Linked DNA regions of Cricetulus griseus. The protein of the gene in region 1 interacts with the protein of each later gene in a pairwise test. Links are inferred from orthologs where the notes say so. Each region holds a gene or a part of one and is shown in the gene's direction. Other genes may lie near its edges. The genes, in order: Trim37, Prc1, Copb1, Pnkp, Mcm10, Fam107a and Fam124b.

Evidence for each region.
Region 2: the proteins of Trim37 (region 1) and Prc1 interact in binary tests that used the Homo sapiens proteins (3 or more experiments, as listed by UniProt). The link is inferred for Cricetulus griseus from reciprocal best matches to the Homo sapiens genes TRIM37 and PRC1.
Region 3: the proteins of Trim37 (region 1) and Copb1 interact in binary tests that used the Homo sapiens proteins (3 or more experiments, as listed by UniProt). The two-hybrid records come from large-scale screens. The link is inferred for Cricetulus griseus from reciprocal best matches to the Homo sapiens genes TRIM37 and COPB1.
Region 4: the proteins of Trim37 (region 1) and Pnkp interact in binary tests that used the Homo sapiens proteins (3 or more experiments, as listed by UniProt). The two-hybrid records come from large-scale screens. The link is inferred for Cricetulus griseus from reciprocal best matches to the Homo sapiens genes TRIM37 and PNKP.
Region 5: the proteins of Trim37 (region 1) and Mcm10 interact in a two-hybrid assay, tested with the Homo sapiens proteins (2 studies listed by BioGRID and IntAct). The link is inferred for Cricetulus griseus from reciprocal best matches to the Homo sapiens genes TRIM37 and MCM10.
Region 6: the proteins of Trim37 (region 1) and Fam107a interact in binary tests that used the Homo sapiens proteins (3 or more experiments, as listed by UniProt). The two-hybrid records come from large-scale screens. The link is inferred for Cricetulus griseus from reciprocal best matches to the Homo sapiens genes TRIM37 and FAM107A.
Region 7: the proteins of Trim37 (region 1) and Fam124b interact in a two-hybrid assay, tested with the Homo sapiens proteins (2 studies listed by BioGRID and IntAct). The link is inferred for Cricetulus griseus from reciprocal best matches to the Homo sapiens genes TRIM37 and FAM124B.

The regions. Positions count from the first base shown.
Region 1 is NC_048600.1:100,408,839-100,412,338, forward strand, and holds part of Trim37 (E3 ubiquitin-protein ligase TRIM37), read left to right. Parts: intron 1-640; coding exon 641-820; intron 821-3,500. UniProt on the Homo sapiens protein: E3 ubiquitin-protein ligase required to prevent centriole reduplication. Probably acts by ubiquitinating positive regulators of centriole reduplication.
Region 2 is NC_048596.1:117,306,059-117,309,558, reverse strand, and holds part of Prc1 (protein regulator of cytokinesis 1), read left to right. Parts: intron 1-45; coding exon 46-178; intron 179-618; coding exon 619-741; intron 742-3,500. UniProt on the Homo sapiens protein: Key regulator of cytokinesis that cross-links antiparrallel microtubules at an average distance of 35 nM. Essential for controlling the spatiotemporal formation of the midzone and successful cytokinesis.
Region 3 is NC_048596.1:86,412,877-86,416,376, forward strand, and holds part of Copb1 (coatomer subunit beta), read left to right. Parts: intron 1-1,155; coding exon 1,156-1,385; intron 1,386-2,222; coding exon 2,223-2,392; intron 2,393-3,500. UniProt on the Homo sapiens protein: The coatomer is a cytosolic protein complex that binds to dilysine motifs and reversibly associates with Golgi non-clathrin-coated vesicles, which further mediate biosynthetic protein transport from the ER, via the Golgi up to the trans Golgi network.
Region 4 is NC_048599.1:153,694,222-153,698,258, forward strand, and holds the start of Pnkp (bifunctional polynucleotide phosphatase/kinase), read left to right. Parts: upstream 1-1,237; 5' UTR 1,238-1,453; coding exon 1,454-1,604; intron 1,605-2,094; coding exon 2,095-2,141; intron 2,142-2,402; coding exon 2,403-2,702; intron 2,703-3,388; coding exon 3,389-3,468; intron 3,469-3,546; coding exon 3,547-3,604; intron 3,605-3,752; coding exon 3,753-3,860; intron 3,861-4,012; coding exon 4,013-4,037. UniProt on the Homo sapiens protein: Plays a key role in the repair of DNA damage, functioning as part of both the non-homologous end-joining (NHEJ) and base excision repair (BER) pathways.
Region 5 is NC_048596.1:222,201,145-222,204,644, reverse strand, and holds part of Mcm10 (protein MCM10 homolog), read left to right. Parts: intron 1-1,006; coding exon 1,007-1,123; intron 1,124-1,344; coding exon 1,345-1,541; intron 1,542-3,291; coding exon 3,292-3,392; intron 3,393-3,500. UniProt on the Homo sapiens protein: Acts as a replication initiation factor that brings together the MCM2-7 helicase and the DNA polymerase alpha/primase complex in order to initiate DNA replication. Additionally, plays a role in preventing DNA damage during replication.
Region 6 is NW_023276807.1:166,689,486-166,692,801, reverse strand, and holds the end of Fam107a (actin-associated protein FAM107A), read left to right. Parts: intron 1-1,265; coding exon 1,266-1,422; intron 1,423-2,717; coding exon 2,718-2,816; downstream 2,817-3,316. UniProt on the Homo sapiens protein: Stress-inducible actin-binding protein that plays a role in synaptic and cognitive functions by modulating actin filamentous (F-actin) dynamics. Mediates polymerization of globular actin to F-actin. Also binds to, stabilizes and bundles F-actin.
Region 7 is NC_048595.1:432,859,175-432,863,212, reverse strand, and holds the start of Fam124b (protein FAM124B), read left to right. Parts: upstream 1-1,238; coding exon 1,239-1,970; intron 1,971-4,038.

The DNA.
Region 1 (3,500 bases):
TCCAGTCCTTATGGGTGGTGCCATCCCTGGGCAGGTAGTTCTATAAGAAAGCAGGCTGAGCAAGCCATGAGTAGCAGCAAGCCAGTATGTAACTCCCTATGGCCTCTGTATCATCTTTTCCCTCCAAGTTCCAATCCTGCTTAGTTCCTGTCCTGACTTCCTTCAGTGATAGACTGTGGTGTGGAAGTGCAAGCCATATAAACCTTTTCCTCCCCAACTTGTTTTTGGTCATGGTGTTTCATTATAACAATAGTAACCCTAACTATGACACAGAGTAACTTCTGTTTTAGGGAAGAAAGTCCTCCTCTACTCCACTTTTCCCGTCTTTTTTGTTATTGTTTTTAAATGAGGGAGTTATAGCCAGGCTGGTGTTAAACTTGATATAGCCAGGGATGTCCTTGAGCTCACGATATTTCTGCCTTCATCTTCCAAGTACTCCCTTTCCTCCCCAAATTGCTTTTGTTGTAGTTTTTAATCACAGCAATAGTAACTCAAACTAAGGCAGTTGGCCCATCTGAAATACTTCTGTTTCTGTAAATAATATCTTTTCTGAAAGGAGTTTGGCTGGAATAACAATTTTATTTTTGTGTAATTAGTTATCTTTACTTTGCTGACTATACTAATGGTGTCTGTATTTTAGGTATGAATATCGTGTAGAAATGGTTCACCAGACTTGCAACGATCCTACCAAAAATATCATTCGAGAATTTGCATCTGACTTTGAAGTTGGCGAGTGCTGGGGCTATAACAGATTTTTCCGTTTGGACTTACTTGCAAATGAAGGGTACTTGAACAGACAAAATGATACAGTGATTTTAAGGTAATTTGAGGTATTTGATATTGGACTTAAATTGGGGGGGGGGGCAATAATGTCATCAGAACTCTGTTTCAAAGTTTATTCATTTAACAAACATAAATATTGAAATTCACACTAGTGTAACTTTGATTTCAGGAGTTTCATGTTGTTAGATGTATAATAAAAGTAAAAAAATGGTTTGATACCTAGTTATTGATTCCATTAAAAAGGAAAATATTGATGACCCATTCCTGTAATTCTACTATCTGAGATGTAAAGCCAGAAAGAGCATGAGGTCAAGACCAGTCTAGGCGACATGACAGGTCTGTAGCCAATCTGGCTTACAAGAGACCTAGTCTCAAAAATTTTTTTTTTCTTTTAAGTGTGATTTATAGTTTGAACATAGCTAACTAAAAATCCAAAATGCCTCCAAACCTGAAATTTTATGGTGGTAATATGTTACAGGTAGATAGTTCCATAGTTGACTTCATGTGAAGAATCACAGAGTGGTGTTGGGCTAGCAAGTACACTCATTAAATTGCCTTCAGCCTCTGCATAGAACTCATAACTTAAATCTGAATACCGAGTTTATCTGAAAAAAGTGTGGGCATTAAGTGGTTTATATTTTCTTTTTTCCCTGTTTGACAGTATAATACTTCAGTGCATGATTTTACAAGCTTAACTTTACAAAGCACCTTTCAGTTTCTGATAAAATCATGTTAGAAAGTAGGGGAACAACAGTGAAAATGGCCAGATGTGATGGTACATACCGTAATCCCAACACTTAGGTGGCAGAAGTAGAAGATCTGGAGTTTAAGTTCATACTTGTCTACCTAGGAAATTCAAGATTTGCCAAGACTATGTAAGATACTGTCTCAGAGAAAGAAAAAAAGAAAGGAGGGAGGGAGGGCAGAGGGAGGGAGAGAGGAAGAAAGGAAAAGGAAGAAAACTGCCATTTTTTTCTAATGAAGAAATAGTCTTATTTTTTAATGACATTTTTATACGTGTGTTTTATGTACGACAGTTTTGATCATATTTACCCCCTACCTTTTTTTGAACCCTCCTACTCCCTGCTAATTCTCTTCCTCTTCCCAATTAGTCCTTTTCTACTTTTTTTTTTTTTTTTGCTAATTTTGTTTAAGATTTTGATACAAATTTTACATACTTGTTAGAAAGTTAAGGGTTTTCTGTACCTCTGTTTTTTGTTTTGTTTTTTGAGACAGAGTCTCTCTTAGATATCCTTGGCAGTCCTGGAACTTCCTATGTAGACCAGGCTGGCCTTGAATTCATATATGCATCTGTCTCTGCTTCTCAAGTTCTGAGATTAAAGGTGTGTGCTACCACACCTGGCTTTTCTGTAACTCTAAATAAATATATAATCAAGGTAGATATGTTTATATATTTATTTGTTCATTAAAAGGGAAATAGAAATTTTTTCCTATTTTTATCTTAATGGCACCAATAGTAAAATCTAATTTTCAGGAATGACCAGAAGTTTATGCATCAGTCAAAGAAAATATTTCCAAAGCTTTTCTAATGTTTTCCTATGAATACTAACTAGGCAGTATGCACTTAGAATAGTGATTTAGTGTTCAGTTCTGCCTTCTCATACATGAACATCATTGACTAGAATTAGAAGCTGGTGCAGTTAACTATTAATACTATTTTCTTACTTCAGGTATAATGTTGGCGGAATTTTCTGTCCTGCTAGCCATCTCCCAAATAACCACACAGAGACTTTAATTATAAATGCTCAGCCAATAGCTTAGGCTTGTTACTAACTAGCTGTTACAACTTAAATTAACCTATATTTCTTACCTACATTCTATCATGTGGCTCAGTGCCTTTTCTCACTATGGCATGCTCATCTTGCTTCTCCTGAGTCTCTGGGCAACTCTGCCCTTCTTCATCCCAGCACTCTCTTCTGGTCCACAAGTTCTGCCTAACCTCTTCCTGCCCATCTGTTGGCCATTTAGTTTTTTTATTAAACCAATGAGAGCAACACATCTTCATAGTGAGCAAAAAGATCATTCCACAACAGTATAAAATCATAGATAAAAATAAATAAATTGTTTGTATTTGGTGGTTAGTTTTTATTGTAGAATCGACTAGGAAGGCAGTCTCACCAGCTAGAGCTTGTGTATTAGGGGAGCCTATGGGTATGTCTTGTGGGGGACTATCTTGATTATGTTTGTTGAGATGGGAAGGCCTGCCAATTCAGGGTAATACCATTCTCTGGGTTTGAGTCCTGGGCTGTATAAATGAGACAGTGAACTGAGTGCAGGTATACATGGGTGCGTGCATCCATTCTGTCTGCTTTTGAATTTGGATATGATTACTTGGTCTAATTTCTGCCTTGACTTTCCAGCAATGGTGGACTGTAACTTGTCCCATCTTCCTTCAAGTTGCTTTATTACTTGTTTTCTGTTCCTGTAACAATTGCCTGAGATAGTCAATTTGTAAAGAATCTGGTTCCTAATTTTGGAGGTTACAGTTCATGGTACAACAACCCATTGCTTGATGTATGTGGTTGTGGTAAAGCACCACAATATGATAGAAGTGTTTCATGAGGCAAACCAGTCACCTCATAGCCTAGACTTGGAAGAGTATAGTGTCTAGTGTGCTCTTCAAAGGCATGCCCCCAATGACATGGATACCTTTTAATAAAACACAAAAGGGAACACCCTTCTACACTTGGGCTTTT
Region 2 (3,500 bases), on another chromosome or scaffold:
TGATGCTAGCTATTATAAGTAAAATGGTTTTATATTGATTTTCAGTGAAGTGCTAGCAGAGGAGTCCATCGTATGCCTCCAGAAAGCTCTGATTCACCTTCGGGAAATATGGGAATTAATTGGGATTCCAGAGGAACAGAGATTACAAAGAACCGAGGTTGTGAAGAAGCATATCAAGGTGAGTTGAGTGGTACTGGTCTTTCTGCAGTGAGACCAGGAGGTAGGGATGTTGCTGCCTTGTTGAGACATCAGACAGAGTGATATTTGGGGACTTGGATAGGTGACTTAGTAGGTAAAGACATCTGCAACTCCATGATATAAGCCTAAGACCTGAGCTCCATCCATATAAGGTATACAGGGAGAATTGAGTCCATAAAGTTGTCTTCTCTCCTTACACTTACTCTATGGCATTTGCATTCCTCACACATAATAATAGATAATAAAAATAATAACATTTGGTCGTTCAGACAAGGATATCACAGACTCTTCCTGGTTTTATTTAAAGCTTCTTCTGCAAAATTTGAAATTATGTGAGTTTTGAGATGCTAATTGGTTTTGTTGTGTTTTGTTTTATTCTCAGTGGCGCCAAACCTTTACCAACTGTTTTCTCTCACACAGGATCTTCTGGATAGGATGATTGCTGAAGAGGAGAGCCTGAGGGAACGGCTTCTCAAAAGCATATCCTTCTGTCAGAAGGAGCTGAGTACCCTGTGCAATGAGTTACAAGTGAAGCCATTTCAGGTGTGGCAATACAGAGTGTTTGGGGGGTGGGTTGGGGTCTGAGACAGATGACTATGTTTTAACTTAGCAATGTAAATGGAAAGCGTTCTTGGAGGGGAGATAGACTCGAGAAATGTGAAAGATAGTTACCCTATTGACATGAAATAGCTAATAGGTTATCAAACACTTCTTGCTGTATTTCAGTTTTATAGAGCATAATAATGTTTTAATTTTGAGGGGAAAAGTGGCATGAATCTTTGTTTGAAAGAGGCGGGTAGGGGGACATTGAAGAAATGGGTTAATTGGTAAAGTCCTTCCCTCATAGGCATGAGAACCTGAATTCAAGCCTCATAAACCTTGCAAAAAAGCCAGATTGCCAGGCCATAATGGCTCACGCCTTTAATCCCAGCTCTTGGGAGGCAGAGGCAAGCGGATCTCTGAAAATTCAAGGTCAGCCTGGCCTACAGAGTGAGTTCCAGGACAGCCAGGGCATCACAGAGAAACTTTGTCTCAAGGGGAAAAAAATAATGGTGGCATATGCTTGTAACTTCAGCACTGGGGGGCAGGGGCAGAGATAGGTGGATCTCTGAGGCTTAAGCTTCAAACCAATGAGAGACCTTGTCTCAAAAACACAAACTTAAAACAAGATAGCAGCTGGACAAAGACTCAGCAGTTGAGAACATGTGGTGCTCTTGCATAGGAGCTGGTTTCAGTTCCCAGCACATGTGGTGGCTTACAACTGTCCTGAACTCCAACTCCAGGGGGTCCAGCACCCTCTAGTGACTTCAGTCTAGAGTACCAGGTTCACATGCAGTACACTTAAATACATGCAGGAGAGAAGCTTATACCCTTATTAGTAATTCTTTAGAACAAAAAACAAGCTGTACAGTATTACCCAAAAGTTGATCTCCGTCTTCCATCCATTTGTTCACATATATGTATGTGCTGCTATCCACCCCACAGAATAAAGTGGGTACATAGGAGGCAAGGATACCTAGTGATACAAAGGAGGAGTACCAAACAAAATTCAACCTTTGTGGTTCTTTTAATAATCAAAAACTGCATACCACTGAACCATCCAGAATGGTTCTGAAAAGTTGGGACACATAGGAAGCTTTGAAAAGGAATGATGACGGTTCTCATGTTCCATTTACTGTTAAAGGAAAAACTTACCACCTTTGAAGGGTAAGGAAAATTGATCCCTGGCAGTCAAGAGCATTCAAGCAGACCATGACGTTAGAGCAGTTTCCGGAGATTAACATAAATGACGTGGATTTGCTACATAAAATTTCTCTTTTTTTCTTAAACTCTCAATGTGAAATTAGGTATATGAGAAGTTGGGACTACACTGGTACATCTGTCTTCCTTGAATATATGGCAAGTTTTTAACAATGCTAAATGAAACTATATTATTTGTAGAACATATAATTACCAACCACTCTATTCCCTTCTTAATCTACTAGGAATAGAGCAGGATCTACTAAATTGATTGGTTTTTTTGTTTGTTTGTTTTTTGAGACAGGGTTTCTCTGTATTGTTTTGGAGGCTGTTCTGGAACTAGCTCTTATAGACCTGGCTGGCCTCGAACTCACAGAGATCCGCCTGCCTCTGCCTCCCAAGTGTTGGGATTAAAGGCGTGTGCCACCAACGCCCGGCCTAAATTGATTGTTATTGGTAAAGAGATGTTCATAGGACTTTTAGTGTAAGTATTCTATTAATAAGAACTAGATATATCATCTTCTAGCTAACCAAAGTAAGCTTTCTGATCCACGTATTGCAAAAGTATTCTGGTGTTTAAAACAGTCAGACTCAACAAAATAGATTGGATTGGTGGGAGCATAAAATGAGGACCTTTTGCCAAAAATGATTTCAGTTTTGCAAGATGAGATGAGTTCTGGAGTTAGCTAGGTGACATGATGATTACACAGCTATTTTTACAATTGCTTCTTAACTTAGACTTACATCCTAATAAAGCCATCATAAATTTTAGAAAATTGTACAATTGATCCAATTCAGTTACTGGAAATTGTAGCTTACACTTGGTTATTATACATACACACAAAACACTGCCTAGAGTTGGGCACCATCATACACAAATGTCCAACCTGTAAATTGATATAAAACTAATCTAACCACTGTGGATGCAGTTCAGTGGTAGAAGTTTGACTAACATGATGTCCTAGTTTGTTTTGGCTTTTTGTTTTGTTTTGTTTTTCGAGACAGGGTTTCTCTGTAGTTTTGGAGCCTATCCTGGCACTCGTTGTGTAGACCAGGCTGGCCTTGAATTCACAGAGATCCTCCTGCCTCTGCCTCCTAAGTGCTGGGATTAAAGGCGTGCGCCACCAACGCCCAGCAATGTCCTAGTTTTAACCTCTGATATTGGTGAGTAAGAAGAGATCAGGCCAATAAGATGATATCAGTGGATAAAGCATTTATCATGTAAAAGCCTGCTGACCTGAGTTCAATCTCCAGAACCCACCTAAGAATGAGTGGAAAGAATCAACTTCATAAAGCTGTCTTGTGACTGTCATATTCATGTCATGGCAAAGTGCATGTTCCCCTACTATACACAAACAACAGTAATAAAGTTAAATTTATAAAAGTAGATTTAAAAAAAGTTATAAAGTTCTTAAAACATGAGATCTTTATTGTTAGTGGTATGATTTTTTTTTTTTTTTAATTTATTGTGGGTGTGTGGTTGTGCACATGCCATTGGCATGTAGAGGTCAGGGGACAACTTCCTTGAGTTGGTTTTATTCTTCTACCATGTGGGTTCTGGG
Region 3 (3,500 bases), on another chromosome or scaffold:
TCAAACCCAGCTCCTCTGGAAGAGCAGCCAGTGCTCCTAACTGCTAAGCCATTTGTCCAGCTCTGATTTTATGATAGAAACAATTATGGTAGCATTGTACTTATTCTGTACTTCTATCTGCCTTTGAATTTTAGACCCAGAAGATTTTTTTTTTTGGCTTTCCTCCCTCATTTCTTTTTTTTTCTCTTTATTATTATTATTATTATTATTATTACTATTACTATTATTATTATTATTATTAATTCAAGTTAGGGAACAGGCTTGTTTCACATGTAATTCCCCTCTCCCTCTCCCTCCCCTCACCCCCATTCCTTCTCCCCCAGACCCAGAAGATTTTTAATACCATTAATTTCCCAGTATTCATAATACTTAAAATTATAGATTTCTTTTCATAAAATATCAAAAAAAATTTGTTCTGTTTGTTTTCTTGAGACAGGGTTTTTCTGTGTAGTCCTGTCTTATAACTCTTTGTAGACCAGGCTGGCATCGAACTCAGAGATCCGCCTGCCTCTGCCTCCCAAGTGCTGGGATTAAAGGCATGTGCCACCACCACCTAGTTCCATAAAATATTTTATAGTGAATAATTTTTATCCTTGGTTAAACTTCCTTTTTATTATAAATAATATATCCTAAATTCTAATCGGTGGCTACTGATTCAACATTTTAGTTTTTATTCAGTTGTTCAGATGGACAAGAAAAGAAAGTGTCTAAAGTTACATGAATATTGAGGACCCTTTTAAAAATTTTAATAAAGGTCACTCTGTTCATGCTACCCTTTTTAAAAAATGGCTATAACTGAGAAAATGCACATAAAATGTGTTATTTTGAGTTTAAAGGATTTACTTTGGTTTTTTTGTTTTTTGGTATTGGTGGGGGACACATCTGTTAAAGTCATGTGGTTTAGCAATATAGGTTCAGGAACCACATTAACTAAATTGGTCAGGGACCAGAAGACTAATCTAGTACCCTCAAATCCTGTGTAAGGCATCTGAGATTCAGAGACAAAATATTCAAACATTTCATTTGGATTTGTAACCTTATTACCAAAGCTGATAGTAAATTTAGTTTGTTTTGCTCATAGCCTTTTTAAACTATCCGAGGAACTTGGTTTTGAAATAATTATGCTTTTTTTGTTTTTTTAAATGATTGAATCAGAGAAAGGTGATGTGAAGTCCAAGACTGAAGCTTTGAAGAAAGTAATCATTATGATTCTGAATGGTGAGAAGCTCCCTGGACTCCTGATGACTATCATCCGTTTTGTGCTGCCACTCCAGGATCACACCATCAAAAAGTTGCTTCTTGTGTTCTGGGAAATTGTTCCTAAAACAACTCCAGATGGAAGACTTTTACATGAGATGATTCTTGTGTGTGATGCGTATAGAAAAGTAAGCCAAATCATAACTGTGCTTTGTTATTTTTGTAGTTATAAAATTGCTCTAATAGATACTTTTTTAGCTTTCAAAAATGAGATCTTTGATGTGATGAGAAATTGTAAATATTTATTATTGAAGTGTGTTCAGCCTATGGCAATAGGTTTAGGCTGCATGAGGTGGGGATAGCTGTGAATGCTGCTCAACATAAAAACCTAACATGCTATTTGATTCTTTTTGGTGGATTTAGGGCTGGGGGTTTTATTTGGTTTTATTTTTCTTGGTTTTTATTTTTCTCAATAGTTAACATAACTATTGAGTTAGTCTCAGTATGAACTTTTAGATGACAGTTTTATTGTAATGTTAAAAGATTGGATACACCTGTAAAATTTATGATAAACATTTTGTATTGTTGCCTTTTCCTATATTTTCTGTGTTATTAAAAAAAATGGTGAAATACATAAAAATGACTTTAGAGGAATCAGAAGAAAACCAGTAATCTAGATCTTTTCCCTAAAAGTAACTTTAATTTTTTCAAATTAGAAAGTATTATGTTTAAATCTTGATTTTTATAAAAGGCTGACTCTTAGGCTTATGAGATGGCTCATCAAGTAAAGTACTTGCTGCCAAGCCTGATAACCCAAGTGTGGTCCCCAGGACCCACAAGGTGCAAGGAGAGAATGTATTCTTGCAAGTTGTCCTTTGACCTCTGCAGAGTTTTCAAATACACACACACACACACACACACACACACACACACACACACACACACACACACACACAAATAAATAATTAAATGTAAGGGTTTTTAAAGCTGAAACTCAATGTTTCCTACTGTAATTTTTATATCAGGATCTTCAGCATCCTAATGAGTTTATTCGAGGATCAACTCTTCGTTTCCTTTGCAAATTGAAGGAAGCAGAATTGTTAGAACCTTTAATGCCCGCTATCCGTGCTTGTTTAGAACATCGTCACAGCTATGTTAGGAGAAACGCTGTTCTAGCAATCTACACTATCTACAGGTAAGGAAAGATATTCCTTTGCTTTATTTCTATTTTAAATGCTTTAGACTAGAGGTTCCAGCGTGGTTGGTTGCAGAATGTATGTACTTGTAAATGATGCATGGTTAGGGTGTTCCCTACAGTGACCATCATTCCTAATTGTGTTGTTGCAGTTCATTTAGTTCATATATCTTTACTTGCTAAAGGCATTGCATTTTTTTACCTTGTTTTAAAATTCTAATTTTGAACAGTATGGGTCTTGTATTAGAAGCTTTGAGGAAGGAACTCTTTTAATGAAAAAGGCTGCAGTTCTTAACTAATTCTTGTTATTATAACAGTTGAAAATTTAGTCTGGACGAGTGGTGCAGGGAGCCTGAGTCAGGAGGATGAGAGTCTGAGGCCAGTCTGGGCAACTTAATGAGTCTCTACAAATAGAAAAGGTTGGGGACATGCCTCAGTGAGTGAGTGTTTATTTAGCAGGAACAAGGCCTTGAAACAGTCATTAGAGTAAAATAATAAAGCTGGAGATTTTGAACTTTAAAACAATTGTAAGATTCAGAGGAGGCTAAAGTGCTAAATTGTTATAGTCATGGCTCTCAGTCCGTGTAAGTTATGGGGCTGGTGGTAGAGCTCAGAAGCAGAGTCCTTGCCTAGAATGAGTGAGGGTGGTCCTGGGTTGGATTCCTAGTACTGCCAGTTTAACATACAGTATATATCATATATTTTGTGTCTGTGCATGTGTGTGCACCTGCATGTTTGTATAAGCATCTATGTATGTTCAGGCTAGAGAACTACATTAGGTACTGTTTCTCAGGCACCATCAACCTTTAACTTTGACACAAGGTCTCTCAGTGGCTAAGAACTCACCACATAGTCTAGGCTGGCTCACCAGAGAGCCGCAGATATCTTTTTGTTAGTCATGTTCTCAGAGTACACATCATCAAGCCTGACTTTTTTTCCTCCCTCGCTCCCTTCCTCCCTTTGTGTGTTAACACCTTGGCTATCCTGGAACTCCCTTTGTGGACCTAGCTGGCTTCAAACTCACAGAACTCTGCCTTCCTTTGCCTCATAGAGTGCTGAGATTAAAGGCATTTGCCATCACGCCCAGCTTAGGGTTTTATTTGTTTGT
Region 4 (4,037 bases), on another chromosome or scaffold:
TGCTGTCTCAGAGGAGTGAAGGCCAGCCCCGTGGCGCACATCTGCCATTCAAGCAACAGGGAGATGGGTTTAGTAGTCACAGGAGTTAACATCAATTCTGCCTCAAAGAACAAACCAAAGCCAGGCATAGTAGCACACACTTTTAATCCCAGCACTTGGGAGGCAGAAGCAGGCGGAAGTGTTTTGAGGTCAGCCTGGTCTGCCAAGCAAGTTCCAGGATACCAGGGCTACACAGAGAAACACCTTATCCCCCCCAAAAAAAAAAAAAAAATCAATGGCCAGCTGTGGTGGCACGTGCTTATTTTGGTTGTTTTTTGTTTTTCTAGAGATGGTTTCTCTGTGTATCTGACTGTTCAGGAACTCAACTGTAGAACAAGCTGACCCTGAACTCAGATCCTCCTGCCTCTGCCTCCCAAATACTGATATTAAAAGCAAGCGTTACTGTTGGGCGGTGGAGTCCCACGCCTTTAATAACAGCACTCAGGAGACCGGCAGATCTCTCAAGTTCGAGGCCAGCTAGGGTGTTGTGGTGGACTAACATCCAAGCCAAATAATTCGACTGTGCTGAAGATAAGTCCAGTTGGGCTTGTTGACAGCAGGTTTCGCCCATAGAAGGAGGGGGCAAGGAAGGTCATGGGACTTCACCCGCGTTCCCTGCTGTTCCTCACAAGCAGCTATGTAGCTGGGGCCTAGGCAGGGGCTAGAAAATATAGGCAAGGAAGAGGTAGGGGAAAAGACTATCTGTGCAGCGTGGGATAGGTGTGGCCTTTGCAGGTAGCACCACACACAAGTAAGTAAACCCTGTAGGCCCAGTAAATTCACTGGTTCCCCAGAATCATCTCTGATGGAATCATATTTCGGTCTACCCTTCAGACGTAGAAGGGTAGACATTGTGACACTGTTTAGGTCTTCATCCGGAAAGCACTTTTGTTTTTGGAGGTGGGGACAGGATCCCATTGTAGTACTGACTGACCTGGAGCTTGTTATGGAGACCAGGCTGGCCTCAAACTCGGAGATCCGCCTTCCTCTGCCTCCTGAGTGCGGGGATTAGACAGGTACGCCACTACACCCGGGAAGTAACTTTAACAACACGGCTACATCCTGAGACCCTATCTCACCAAAACAGAACAAAACCAAGTAACTGCAGCCTAGGGACCCAAACGCCCCCTAGCAACACGCAAGCGGGTCAGGAGCGGCGCGCGCGCTATGGGAGGAGCCAAACCTTCCGAGTCTTTCCCACAACAGTGGTGAGTCTCGGAATGAATTCCGAAGTAATCCCGACCTTAAACTATCCTCTCTAGCTACTTATGGAACTGCTGTGGTAGCCTGGGAAACGTTGAACCCGCCCATGGGCAAGGGGCGGATTTCCGGAGCGGCTCTAGTGGGAAGGCAGGACTTCCGGTAGCGGACCGTAGCTGGCTGCCCAGCGAGTTCGCCTTCGCCACATCCCGGGATGTCACAGCTGGGATCTCGGGGCCGTCTGTGGCTGCAGAGCCCCACCGAGGGACCGCCCCCTATCTTCCTGCCGTCGGACGGCCAAGCCCTGGTTCTCGGTCGGGGACCCCTGACCCAGGTGACGGACCGGAAGTGCTCCCGAAATCAAGGTGGGCGCGGGAGTGAAACTACGGCATCAAGAGCTGCAGGGAAACCTGTGCCTAACCTGGAGTTAGACAGGGCTTTCGGGGAGGGACAGAGCGGATCCGGGAGATTGTCACCGGGTGGAGGAGGATGCTCGCAGCAAAGAGACGCCTCTGGGCAGGATCTATCAGGCCATGCCCAAGACCTAGGTCTACTCAGTGTGTCTTATGGAGCAAGCCGACCCTACAGATTTAAAAAATCGTAGGTCCCGGTCCTATCGAGAGATAAACTGTTTCGGGCCGGGGGTGACACACACCTGTCATCCAGGCACTTGGCTGGTAGAAGTTTAAGGTCAGCCACCAGTGTGTGGCGACTTCTAGGCTACCCTGGGCTACTTGAGGCCCTGTGTTGGGGAAGGGAGGAAAGTGCCTTTTCCTTCGGAAGTGCAAGACGAAGTCTATAGCTGGCCACGCCCCATATGTGATGTAAACCCTGACTCCATCCCCTTACCCTCAGTGGAGCTGATTGCAGACCCTGAGACCCGGACAGTGGCAGTGAAACAGGTACCAGTGTCTCAGCAACGAGTAGCAAGGACTTGGGGTAAGGGGTCGGGGTGGGCCGCAACCCTTCAGAAGGTTAGTAGGTATTCCCTTTTCCACCGTGCCAAACTGGACTCCTTGTGACCTTTCAAAGTTCTGATTGGTAGCATGCAATGAATAGGTGGGAGATTAAGGTCTGACTGGGAGATGGGGTATTGGAATTGGTGGGGAAGCAAGTGTTCCCTGAGGAGTTGGAGCCGACCTTGGTTCCTCCTTTCTTCGCAGCTGGGTGTTAACCCATCAACTGTTGGGGTCCAGGAATTGAAGCCAGGGTTGTCAGGCTCTCTAAGCTTGGGGGATAGCCTGTATCTGGTCAATGGCCTATACCCCCTGACCCTGCGTTGGGAAGAGATTAGCACAACGGGATCCCAGCCAGATACTCCACCAGGCACTCCTCCTTCGGATCCAGTGGACAGGGAGGATGCTGAGCCTCAGAAAAAGCGGAGACGGAAATCATCCCCTGGCTGGGAGAGCTTAAAGAAGTTACTGGTGTTCACAGCATCTGGGGTAGAGTCCCGGGGCAAGGTGAGGCCACAGTCCTGCCGCTTAATACAGAGTTTGCTGTGCAGCCCTGGGCTAGTCTTATCAAAGTCTCTGAGTCTCAGCTGTTTGTTGTGAACAGAGACTGAGGTGCAGGATACAGATCAGGCCCTGTAATCAGTGATGATCAGACCTTTCTTGGATGTGTTTATGGGTTACTCTGAAATGATTAGGCCACAGAAAGTTTGGGGTCTAGTCCCTGGTTGGGCACTCAGTCAACAGAGAGTTTTGAATTTAAATTTTTATTCATTTATTTATGTGAGCCTGCTTGATTTTATGTGTACCACATGTATACAGATGCCTGCAGAGGCCAGAGAGCATTGGGTTCCCTAGAGCTGAAGTTACAGGCAGTTGTGAGCCACCTGATGTGTGTGCTCTGAGCCACTGAGTCTTCTTTTCAGCTCTTCCAACAAAGACGGTTGCTCTTTCTGAGCTGATAATCTTCCAAGAGATGCTCAGGGAAAAGGGGAGGGTGGGACACAGGTCTCCATTAAAGACTGGAAAGTGGGGAGCAGAGGACACAGGAGCAGTGAGGTACTGCTCTCCTGCCTCACTCATGCACACCCTGCAATAGGAGTGTCAAAGGGCCGGTGTCAACTGTGGGGAGAGTCCCTGTTGACACAGGGGAGTACCAAACACAGTACTGCTGTCCCTGTGTTTGGTGATACCAGGTGGCTGCCTTTGACCTAGATGGGACTCTCATCACCACTCGTTCTGGAAAGGTCTTCCCCACTAGCCCTAGTGACTGGAGGTGAGGTGGTGCCTGGCAAGAGGGTGGGAGCTCAGGTCCTCTAGGTTATAAGTCATTGCTGCTTCCCACCGACCTTAGGATTCTGTACCCAGGGATTCCAAAGAAGCTCCAAGAGCTGGATGCTGAGGGGTACAAGGTATGTGTGTGTGTGTATTCTCTAGACTCCAAGAACTACAAGGTGCGGGGCCTATGTGCATGTGTGTGCATGAACACATGCATGTTTGTGTAGAGTTCAGGCTGAGCTGTGGTGTGGTGAGCGCCAGTGTGTCCTTGTCTATCCCCAGCTGGTAATCTTCACCAACCAAATGGGCATTGGGCGAGGGAAGCTGCCGGCAGAGGTGTTCAAGGCCAAGGTGGAGGCTGTGTTGGAGAAGCTGGGGGTCCCATTTCAGGTACAGCCAGGGACACTGAGGGGCTGTGTGGGACAGGGACCCAAAGAGAACATGCCAAGGTGTGGAATGGAGGCCTTGGCTGGGGTTGTGCTGACAGAAATGACCTTGGAAGTCCTAAGCACAAGGACAGTGTAACTTGGCCACCTCAATAGGTGCTGGTGGCAACTCATGCAGGTC
Region 5 (3,500 bases), on another chromosome or scaffold:
CACATCTCCTAATCCTTCTCAAAATAGCTCAACCAACTTTGTACCTAACGTTCAGATATATGAATCCATGGGGGCAATTTTTACTCTAACTACCACAATGAGTTTTGCCTTATACTGAATATCTCTGGAGCAGAATACTGTGTCTCCCCACACTGGAAGGGGAATAGTATTCATTGGTTACTGATCCTGGGTAGGGGGCTCTGAACAGCTTGGTGTTTTCTGCTAGAATTCCCTGATCTGGCGGGAAGTTTTACACAAACTCTGCTACCAGAGTGTGAATCCAGTTAGGCAAAGCAATTGTAGATAGGGTCCAAGAATCAATAAAAGCCTGTACTTCTTGGGGGCTCGTCCCTCTAAGTCTCAGGAGAACTGTCCAGGGTAGATGGAGTATTACCTGTGGCCAAGTTTGCTCCTGACTAGCTGGGGGATTCAGAAGCTTTCTGATATGGATTTTGTTACCTAGTAACTACTGAACCTTCTGATCTCAAAGAAACAAGGACAGTTAAGGACATTCCTTCTTATCTCAGCCTGTATTCTTGATAGGTCTGCCTGAGAATTGGCAGTAGAGAATGGGAAAGCTGAGTCAGCCAAGATCACGCAGAGACTGCCCTTCTGGCCTCTTTCCACCATTGGTGGCAAGATGAAGGAGAGTGAGCCAGCCTGTGTCTCTTTTTAGTGGGAAATCAAGTTTCCCTATCAATTCTTGTTTCATTCTAATTTGCCAGGCCTTGGTCATATGACCATTGTTGGCTTTAAGGAATGCTGGGAAAACAGAAGGCTACATCCATTGTCTGAGGCTGAGCACTTGGCCAGCCTGGACAGTCAGGATTCCAGCAACTAAGGGAAGGGAAAAGTGGTTAGAGAGACGGGAGCTGAATGAGTCTTCCCCATTCTACAACTGCATAGAGCTTTGGCTTCAAAAATGTCTCCCAGAATCAGCTGCAGACACCCCTTCACCCATCTTATAATAAAGGCCTTTAGCACTTGCGTAATCTCTCTCACACAGGTGTGCTTATCTATTGATCATCCTCAAAAAGTCTTAATTATGGGAGAAGCTATGGACCTGGGAACCTGTAAAGCCAAGAAGAAGAATGGAGAGCCATGTACACAGATTGTTAATTTGGTGAGTCTCAAATCTGTTAGTCTGGTTTTTGCCTATGAAAAGAATCAATCATGACGGATAGACTTTGGGTGCTGGAGTGGTGATGAGCAAACGGAAGCTCTGAAATTCACAAGGTCTCATCTTGCACATAGTGTTGTGAGGCTGGGAGAAATGGGCTCACTGCTTCCCGTCACTGCCCCCAGCCTGCTGACTGAGTCCTCACCGGGTGTTTGTCCTTGCAGCATGATTGTGAGTACTGCCAGTATCACATCCAGGCCCAGTACAAGAAGCTTAGCGCAAAGCGATCAGATCTGCAGTCCACTTTCTCTGGGGGGCGGATTCCAAAGAAGTTCCGCAAAGGCACCAGCCTGAAAGAGCGACTGTGCCAAGATGGTTTCTACTACGGCGGGGTTTCTTCTGAATCCTTTGCAGCGTCCATGTAAGGCATTTCTCGGGGCTGCTTTTGGGAAAGGGTTTTGCTTGTCTCTTAAGAAGAAGCTGGTGGTTGAACTGTTCTGTAACTGTTGTACATGAGCTTCATTTTTCATAGCTGAAGCCAGAGTAGTTAAGGAGGCCTTTCATTCGCAGGGAGAGAGGCATACGTTCAGAATGAATGGGAAGTGATTCATGTTGTGATCTGAATATAGAGCCCATACTTTATGTTTAGCCAGATGTGGTGGCCCACACGTGCAAGCTCTGCAGAGACTGAGGCAGAAAGAGCATGAATCCATGGCCAGCCTAAGCTATATAGGGAGAACCTGTCCCAAGTGGAGAAAACAGTCTGGAGAGATGGCTTGACCATTAAGAGTGCATGCTGTTTGGTAGAGGGCCTGAATTTGCTTCCCTGTACCCAGGTCAGGTGGCTTGCAACCGCTGTAACTTCAGCTTCCGGAAATCTCATGCTCTTTTCTTGAGCTCTCTGGGTACTGCACTCACTGTGCACAAACCTGCACTCAGACACATGCATATACACATAAAAAAAAAAAAGTTAAAATAAAACTATTTTTAAAAGTGAAAAAACAATCGCCAGGTGGTGGTGGTGGTGGTGGTGGTGGTGGTGGTGCGCACCTTTAATCCCAGCACTCGGGAGGCAGAGGAAGGCGGATCTCTGAGTTCGGGGCCAGCCTGGTCTCCAGAGCAAGTGCCAGGATAGGCTCCAAAGCTACCCAGAGAAACACCCCCACCCCCCCACCCCGTCTCAAAAAACCAGAAAAAAAAAAAAAGAGGTGGAGGCAGTAAGATCAGGACTCTGTGCCCAGCTGTGGCAAAATTTCAGGCCAGCTTAGGGCATATGAATTCCTGTAGCAAAACAAAAAGGTGCATTAACATCCATTGAGTTGTTACCTTTATTGTTATTTGTTGTTACTATTATGTGTGATGAAGCTCACACAGAGGTGGGACAGATGTTCATGGCCCTCTACTGGGATCCTAGACTGTCTAAGGAACCCCAAAGCAGATAGATGATGTATGGCCTTGTCATCTTACCATAATGTCATCTGAGCATGTGTCAGATGAGAACATGTACAAAGGAATTGTGGTTGATCTAAAAACAAACAAACAAAAAATTGTTTCTCATTTTACTGAATTAGGCAAAGACTTTTGCACTTTCTGTATATTTAGTAGTATCTCTTTAATCATCACTTTTAGTAGCTATAGAGTATCTTTTATATGGTTATTTTAAATATTCCCTGTTGATGAGTACTAATGGCATCTCTAACGATGTTGTAGTTTTTTTGAGACAGGATTTCATGTAGTTCAGGCTGGCTTGAACCCAACATACAGTCAAGCCTGCCCTTGAATTCCTGAACCTTCTGCCTCCATCTCCCTAGTGCTGGGATTTGTACATGCCACCCTGCCCAGTTTCTAATAATTACAAAATACTAAACTTTAGCAGCCATTAAATATTTTAAGACAAATTCTTAGGCTTTTGTATCACAGTACTGACATTTTTTGAAGTTTCTGGCCCTTTGGCAAGGCCTCAAGCAAATCTGTAGGTTGCCTGTTCTCCATCTGTGCTTTGGTATACAAACCAGAACTACTGGGTTACTGAGTTACGGCTAGCAAAGCCTGCTTGTATGAGACTTGAGGAATTTGGCCAATTGGTAACAAATGCATATGAATCCTCATGGTTTGTTTGTGAAAACATTGAAGTTCAGTAACTTTCTGATCTGGTGCCTCTGTCATTTCAGGGCAGCAGCTATTGCTCCTAAGAAGAAGGTTCAAACCACTTTGACCAATCTGGTTGTGAAGGGCACAAACTCAATCATCCAGGAAACAAAACAAAAACTCGGTAACTTTTTCTGCACCCATCCTCTGTCTCCAGTGGATGCAGTATTTAGGATTGGGAATGGTTAGGCTTGCTTCTACTCTCCAGTGATGAATGGCTACTCATCGCCTG
Region 6 (3,316 bases), on another chromosome or scaffold:
CCTCAGTTAGGATACAAAAAAAGGAGGCCCAGTTCCTGCCCTCCCAGAGGAGAGTGGAAGAATATCAGGCAGGACAGGGTGTGCATTGATGGAGGATTTAGAGGCATGTGGGCATAAATGAATTCATGGAAGAGATGATTCCTGAATGGCCTAAAGCAGGGACGGGAGCTGTCTTGGTGGGAGATAGGTTGTGCCAGCAGAGAGAATTAGAGAGCACACAGATGTTGCTGAGGAATCAGGCAGTGACGGTTCTCTCACAGCCATGTTCCCCTATTGGGCAAGAGGATAGCAGTGAAGCAGAAGAGCCAAGGGGGAATCTGGGGAATGGCATGTCTGCAATCAACAATCACAGCATGTCAAATATAGGACAGGGTGGTTGAGGAGCCTCTATGAGGATTCTGCTCACATGGCCCAGGCTGAAGGTGGTGGTGCGGCCTTCATGGAGTCCTCTGCTGGCCAGTTGTATTGGAGCTGGTTGTGATTTCCATTCTGAGACCAACATACAACAGATACCCCTTACACTCTGGGCTGTTTGCGGGTTTGTGCTCACTTAATATTGTAATATTATCATGTCCTAAGTAGTTTTTTTGTAGTGTTCATTCATTAAAAGTATCAAAAATATCACCACAATGAAAAAACAGCTTCAAACAAACTGAAATATTTGCAATATTAATAAATTATATTGAAAATTACATATACAATATAAATATTAACATATTCATGTACCTTAGTCTACAAGGAAAAAAAAAGAGTGAATTTGCAAAAGGGGAAATGCAAATGCTAGAAACATTTTAAAGACTATTGCATGTGACTGATAATCAAGGAAACATGAAAACTGGGCATTGTTTCTTGTCTCCTAGACTTAATAATAATAACAATAATGATAATAATAATAATAATAATAATAATAATTGTCTTGGAGAATGGGAATAAATAGTTGTCCTTGTAAGGAAATTAACTGCCAGGAGATTTCAAGAGAGCCCAGCTCAGCATTTCCACCTCCAGAAGCTCTGGTAAAATATAAAGCAACCACATGTCACCAGGTCTCTGTGGCCTGGGCTGAAATTCTGTTGTAGCTGCAACCTGCCTTGTTATTCTGGAGGCAGTGGCTCTTTGCCTCTCTCTATAGCGTTGGACAGTGAGGTCACCCCCTCCAGTGTTGCCCAAGCACTGTAAGAGAAAATGGCCATTGGGCATCCCTGTAAACTGCTGCCCAGACTGGGAAGGTGGGAAAGGGTGTCTCCTGATAGCTCCCACCTCCCCAGGGGCTTGGGTGTAGACAGCAAGCCTGAGTTGCAGCGGGTCCTGGAGCACCGACGCCGGAATCAACTGATCAAGAAGAAGGAGGAGGAGCTGGAGGCTAAGAGGCTTCAGTGCCCTTTCAAGCAGGAGTTGCTGAGAAGACAGCAGAGACTGAATCAGGTGGGTAGGAGGTAGCAGCAGCTCCATCTAAGCCTCCTCCAAGGCCCCAAGGGAAGGTCAGCACAGCACCAGGAATCTACCTCTGGCCTGCTGTGCGACACTAGCAATGACTTCACTTCTCTGACCCTGCTTTCCTGTGAGATCCATATCTGAAAGTTAGATCCCCTGTGAGAGCAGAGGCCATTTCTTTTTTAGAGGTGGGGGTCTGAGGCCAGAGGAATAAGTGATTTGAACCAGGCTTCCCAAGGAGAACCCGGTCTCTTACTCTGTTCCCGTGTGGGTACAGAGGGTATCCACTAAGATTTCCAGGTTCTTGTGTCCTGGGAGAATTGGCGAAGACATGCATAGTGGCATAGATGAAGTTCATTAAGGAAGAGGAAAGCACTTACAAATGGATGTGGGTTAGAGAGCTCGAACAGGTCCAGGGCTCAGAACCCCAGGCTGCAAGCAGCCTGACCCTTATGAGGTCATTTATACATCACCCCACCCCCTGTCCATATTCAAAGATGGTGGTGTTAGTATTCAGGCATCTGTACTGTCCTGTCCTTGGGGTTCTGACAGGGTATGTCCTCAGCTTCAGCCACTAAGAGCACCACCTGTGCACATTCACTATGTTCCCTTTTAAAAGGACCCTGCCCACTTCCCATCCTCCTCTTTCTCTAGCTGTATGTCCCTCCCTCCCTCCCTCCCTTCCTCCCTCCCTCCCTCTCCCTCTCCCTCTCCCTCTCCCTCTCCCTCTCCGTCTCCTCTCCCTCTCTCTCTCTCTCTCTCTCTCTCTCTCTCTCTCTCTCTCTCTCTCTCTCCCCCACCCCTCCCTTGCTTCCTCCCTCACTACCCCCCTCTCTTCTTTCCTCTTTCCTCTCTCCCACTGCTCCTGTCCCCAGAGGCTGGTCTCCCCCCTCCCCTTTCCCCCTTTTATGATCCCTTTCCCTAATTAAAACAAAACAAAACAAAATCTCTGCTTGAACCCTGTTGCTTGGTGTCTTCTCTCCAGAGCTGCTTTTCTTAAATTACAACAGGTGGCATTTCCTCAAGCATACTGTTTTGATGTTTCCTGAAGTGAGGGTGGGGTGTTTTTTTGTTTTGTTTTTATGTTAATCCTGATGACTCTCTCAAGCATCTACTCTCCTGATACAACCTACAGCCACCACCACTACCACTTTGGGATGGTTGGTAAAACCCACCCCAGGGTGCTTCTGCTTTCCCACTGACAAAACCTTTGGTCCAACACCATGGCTTTTGAAAATGGGAGGCCCCCCAGCCCTGCGAAATTCACAGGTGTCTCTCTCCTCCAGCTGGAAAACCCACCACAGAGAGAAGAGGCCCATGCTCCTGAGTTCATCAAAGTCCGAGAAAACCTGCGCAGAATTGCCACGGAGGAGAGAGCACTGTAAAATTCTCTACACTCAGCTCCTGCCACTCAATCTGGCCCAGACCTCCTCCAGCCCTCCTGAACCAGAAGGCCCTGACACACGGTGATGCCAGCAAGGCAGACATGAGAGGCTGGCTATCTCCGGGACCTCATCCCTTCCAACCCATACCCCGCAACCCGCAGGAAAATCTCTGTATGGACTTCTCCTTCTGAGCACCTAGCCTTCCAGTGCTAAGAGGAAGCCACTACCAGGAAAGACCTCCCCAGGTGCCTTTCCTGATCGGACCCACTAGTAAGCTTCCCTAGCAGAAGTGGAAAGGAGGGCCAGTGTCCCTACATTCTGCCTTAGCTTCCCAACAGGCCCCTGCTTTGGGAGCAGCCCAGCTCCTAGTGTTGGGAGTATCTCAGCTCAAGCTTGACCTGAGGCCAAGAATGTCTTGAACTCACAGAGCAAAGAAGAGACGCTTTGTCTGCTGCAAGGAAGGCCATGGAGGCCACAGCAGGCTGTGGCCAGGTGGGAAA
Region 7 (4,038 bases), on another chromosome or scaffold:
TGGCTTCTACCCAACTGGCCTTGAGCTCACAGTAATCCCCCTGTAGCCATCTCCTGAATCCTAGGATTACTGGTATTTGTTTCTATGCCTGACTACTAAAGATTTGGGAACAGATTAGGTGATTATGTCAACTGTGTGATATTCTGTTTAAGATTCATTAGCCTGTATCCACAGGTAAATGTGTCAACTAGAAGTTGACATGGCAGCCTTTCCTCACCTCAAGAAAACAAACAAACAAAACAATCAACTGTGGCTGGCCTTCCCAGCTCTAGAGACTATGGGCCCTTCCGATCTTTCAAATCTCTCCCCTGACACGTCACTGTGTTAGTTTGGACAATTTACCTGATTTTTTTTCTATGCCTCAGTTTCTCGTCAGCAAATGGGGGATAAATACTCTCTTCTTTGTAGGCTTGTTGGCTGATTAAGTCAATTTTTCTAAAGTTTTCGGATAGTTTATCAACAGATCCTCAATAGGAAGACATCAGAATTACTGCAACAGGAAAGCTCACTGTCTACAAATTTACACGAACCAAAGGCAACCTAGTTTCTTAATGTCATTTTAGTGCATCCAGGCTATTAGTCCAGCCAGACAAATAGTTTTCAATGAGGCCAACACTATGTAGACAAAATATCTCTTTTTTGTGACCTAGCAGAAAATGATCAAAAATGAAATAAAAGCAATGGTGGCTGAAGGCTCTGGCAAGCAGACAAGACTGGGAGTGGCTTTAAAGAAGGCGTCCTATTCAGGAGGCCTGGCGGCCACTGTAAACATCAGGATATTTAAGTAGGAAGTCAGAGCCCATTGTGGCCCACCAAATGGATCTCTCTTCAGTGTTACAGAGCTACAGATGGCTATCAGTGCAACAGAGCCGCCTCCTGTTCCTCTCGGCCTGGTCATTTCCTCTACCGAGTTGAATGTAAGAACCACCCACTGGCGTGGTTCTCAGCATTATAGGTTTTTAGGTCAAACAGAAACCCCAGGGAATGCCTGAAAATGCCAAGCAAATAGTTACATCTGCCCAGAACAGATGACATGGAGCTACCGCTGTTGTGTGTAGCAAAGTCCACATTTCCTGCTGGAGCATCGGAGGAAGCCAGGAGCATGTGTGATCTGATTAAGAGCTTGGTTCAGAAGATGCTGAAGTTTTTCTAGGAGGCTCCGTATGAGACCTTGGTTCAACTTAGAAGGCTGAACAGTGGACCGTGCTGGGTGACCATCATCTTCACCTAGGCCTGCCATGGATGAGACACAGGAGTCTCTAGCCTTGACTGTGCACCTTCTTGCTGACACTGGAAACGGCTCGCTTCTGCAGCAGGCTCTGGACCAGCTCCTGGACTGTATCTGCCCAGAGGTGCGTCTCTTCCTAGTGTCTGAACGGGCCAGACCAGTGAATTACCATGAAAAGTACCACCCCCGGAGGGCCCGCTTCCCTGGGATGTCTGTTTTGCTGTTTCTTCAGGAAAGCCTTGGACAGGAGCGGCTGTTTAGAGTCTTGGACTTCCTACAGCACTCACCCTGGCAGGGTTTCCCTACCCAGCATGCACAGGGGAGGCCTTGTCCCTATCTTCCCGCCAATCAGGAATTCTACAGCCTGCACCACCAGATGCCAGTGTGGGGCATGAGGCCGGTGCACTGTGGCACTGATACCCTCAGAGTGACTCTGTACTGCAGTTTTGATAACTATGAGGATGCCATCCGGCTATATGAGATGATCCTACAGAGAGACGCCACCGTGCAGAAGAGCAACTTCTGTTTCTTTGTTCTCTATGCCACCGAGGGCTTCAGCCTGCAGCTCTCTCTGAAGCAGCTGCCCCTGGGAATGCCAGTGGACCCCAAAGAGTCTTCTGTGCTGCAATTTAAGGTTCAAGAGATCGGCCAACTGGTGCCTCTTCTACCCAATCCGTGTATTCCCATCAGCAGCACCAGGTGGCAGACTCAGGACTATGATGGCAACAAGATTCTGCTGCAGGTATTTCATTTCTTACGTTTCTGGTGTGTACTAGAGTTACCAGAGTTGGTAGGGTCAGAGCCAGGGCCCTGGAAACTCCAACAAGCTAGACTTGGCCATCAATCCTCAGTAGGCCAATTAAACAGATGAATAATAGTAAAAGACCAAGAAAACAGAGTTACTCAAAGCAGATACATTGGGAGAAGAGCAAATTAAAAGGTCCAGGGGCTCCTGCCCCTGATATGAAGACTTATGCATACCTAACTATGCAGTCCTGGGGTGGGTGTGGTCCCATTATTATCCATCATCATTGTCTTAGCTTCAACCTCTCCTGAAATCTTTCTGGGAGTCAAGCTCCCCCCCTGGCTGCCATCAGGGCCCCAGCTTCCCCCCCACTCCCCTGCAGCATGAGATTCCTGGGGAAGTTTGAATTTCTTGGGATCCATTGTGTCATTAGTCTGATAGCCAAAGGGAGGGGCACAAGTACTTTTTTTTTTTTTTTTTTTAAATGGCCTCATCCCTGTCAGGAAATGGAAAGGTGTGATGCTATATCTGGGTGGTCTCTAGAGGTGCTTTAGTCAGTGGTCTTCAACCTGATTGCAGAGTTAGAGACTGGGGAGGTTTTAAGACTTGTTCATGCTAAGCTGCACCACAGTCCCACTAGACCAGAAAGTCTGGGGAGACCCAGAGAGTTTCTTACAAAAGGATAAAAGAGTTTATTGTATGATTCTTATATATACTGCAGCTGACAGTCACAGACTTCAAAATATACAAGTTCCTCATGTGACAGGTAAGAAATACCTGACTTGTGTGAACTTGTAGCTGAAAAGCCCGAGAGTCAGGTGATGCTCCCTCCCCAGAATTCCCTTTTCCATGTCTGTCACACATCCATACACACTTTGTCCATTTAGATTCAGTAATAATATTACTGGGAAATTTGGAGTGTCGAGTCAGATTTGTGCATGTTACTAGGGTAATGGAGCTCTCCCCTTATGGTTTTTAGTCTCATTAATAAAGGAATTTAAGGATGGACTCAGGAGGAAACTCAAGGACAAATTTCTTGGAGTTCAAAAGGAGATGTAGAGGAAGAGGAAGAAATTCAGTTCAGGCAAGCTGTAAATCTCAGCATCTGCCAGGGGAGAGAGAGATAAGGAAGAGAGAGAGAGAGAGAGAGAGAGAGAGAGAGAGAGAGAGAGAGAGAGCATGCTGTTAGCCATGTAGCAGAGAGGGAGCCATGGAGAAGGAGGAAAGCCCAAAGTGTTATGAAGAGCACACTGAGGAAATGTTCCACTGGAAGAGCCGGAAGGTTTATGAAGTAGCAAAGGTTCCTTCCAGGTTCCTGATCAAGGCTACAGCAACACCGTCATGAGCTCTTTCCACAGGCCTAAGGTGTAATGGTGTTTGGGAATGTTAGGTTGGCAATACTAGTAGCTTCCCCTTGCAGCATTTTCTACCACTGTCAAATTTAAGCACAAATCAAGTTCAACACCCAGAATGCCTTCAAAAGAAAATCTGAGAGCCACCCTTTTCAGTCATCCTACTGAAGCTAAACACAGCCAGGTGTTTACCTAATCATGATGGCTGCCACGTGCTGTCCCTTACGGCGTATGATGTGGCAGCTAAGCTTTAGCACTTAGTAGTTGTTGTGACCTTAGCTCAATGAAGGTGATACTGGCATCTTCCTACACAAAGAATGTTACTCTTCATGAAATGACATAACACTCATGAACACACATCATTGTATTTTAACTGCTGTTGTGCATATTATACACTGTATAATATGAGATTTTCCAATCACTAATATTTTAAATCCTTTTAACAATCTATGAAGTCATTACCGATCCTGTTATAAATGAGAAGACTGAGGAACATTTATTTGTCCAAAGGATGTGTTTCTATCAGGTCTCAAAGTCCGTTTGACAAATGGTGGCACCACAAAGGTGAGGCATGGGGCATGGGCAGGGTGGCGGCAGTCACTGTGCTTGTAAATGTTGAGGAGATACATGGGAGTCAAAGCAAATGTCCCATAGTGTCTGTCCTTGGGAAATGGCCAGAACTCCCCTTACTTCAGTGTGTGAAGTAATAACAC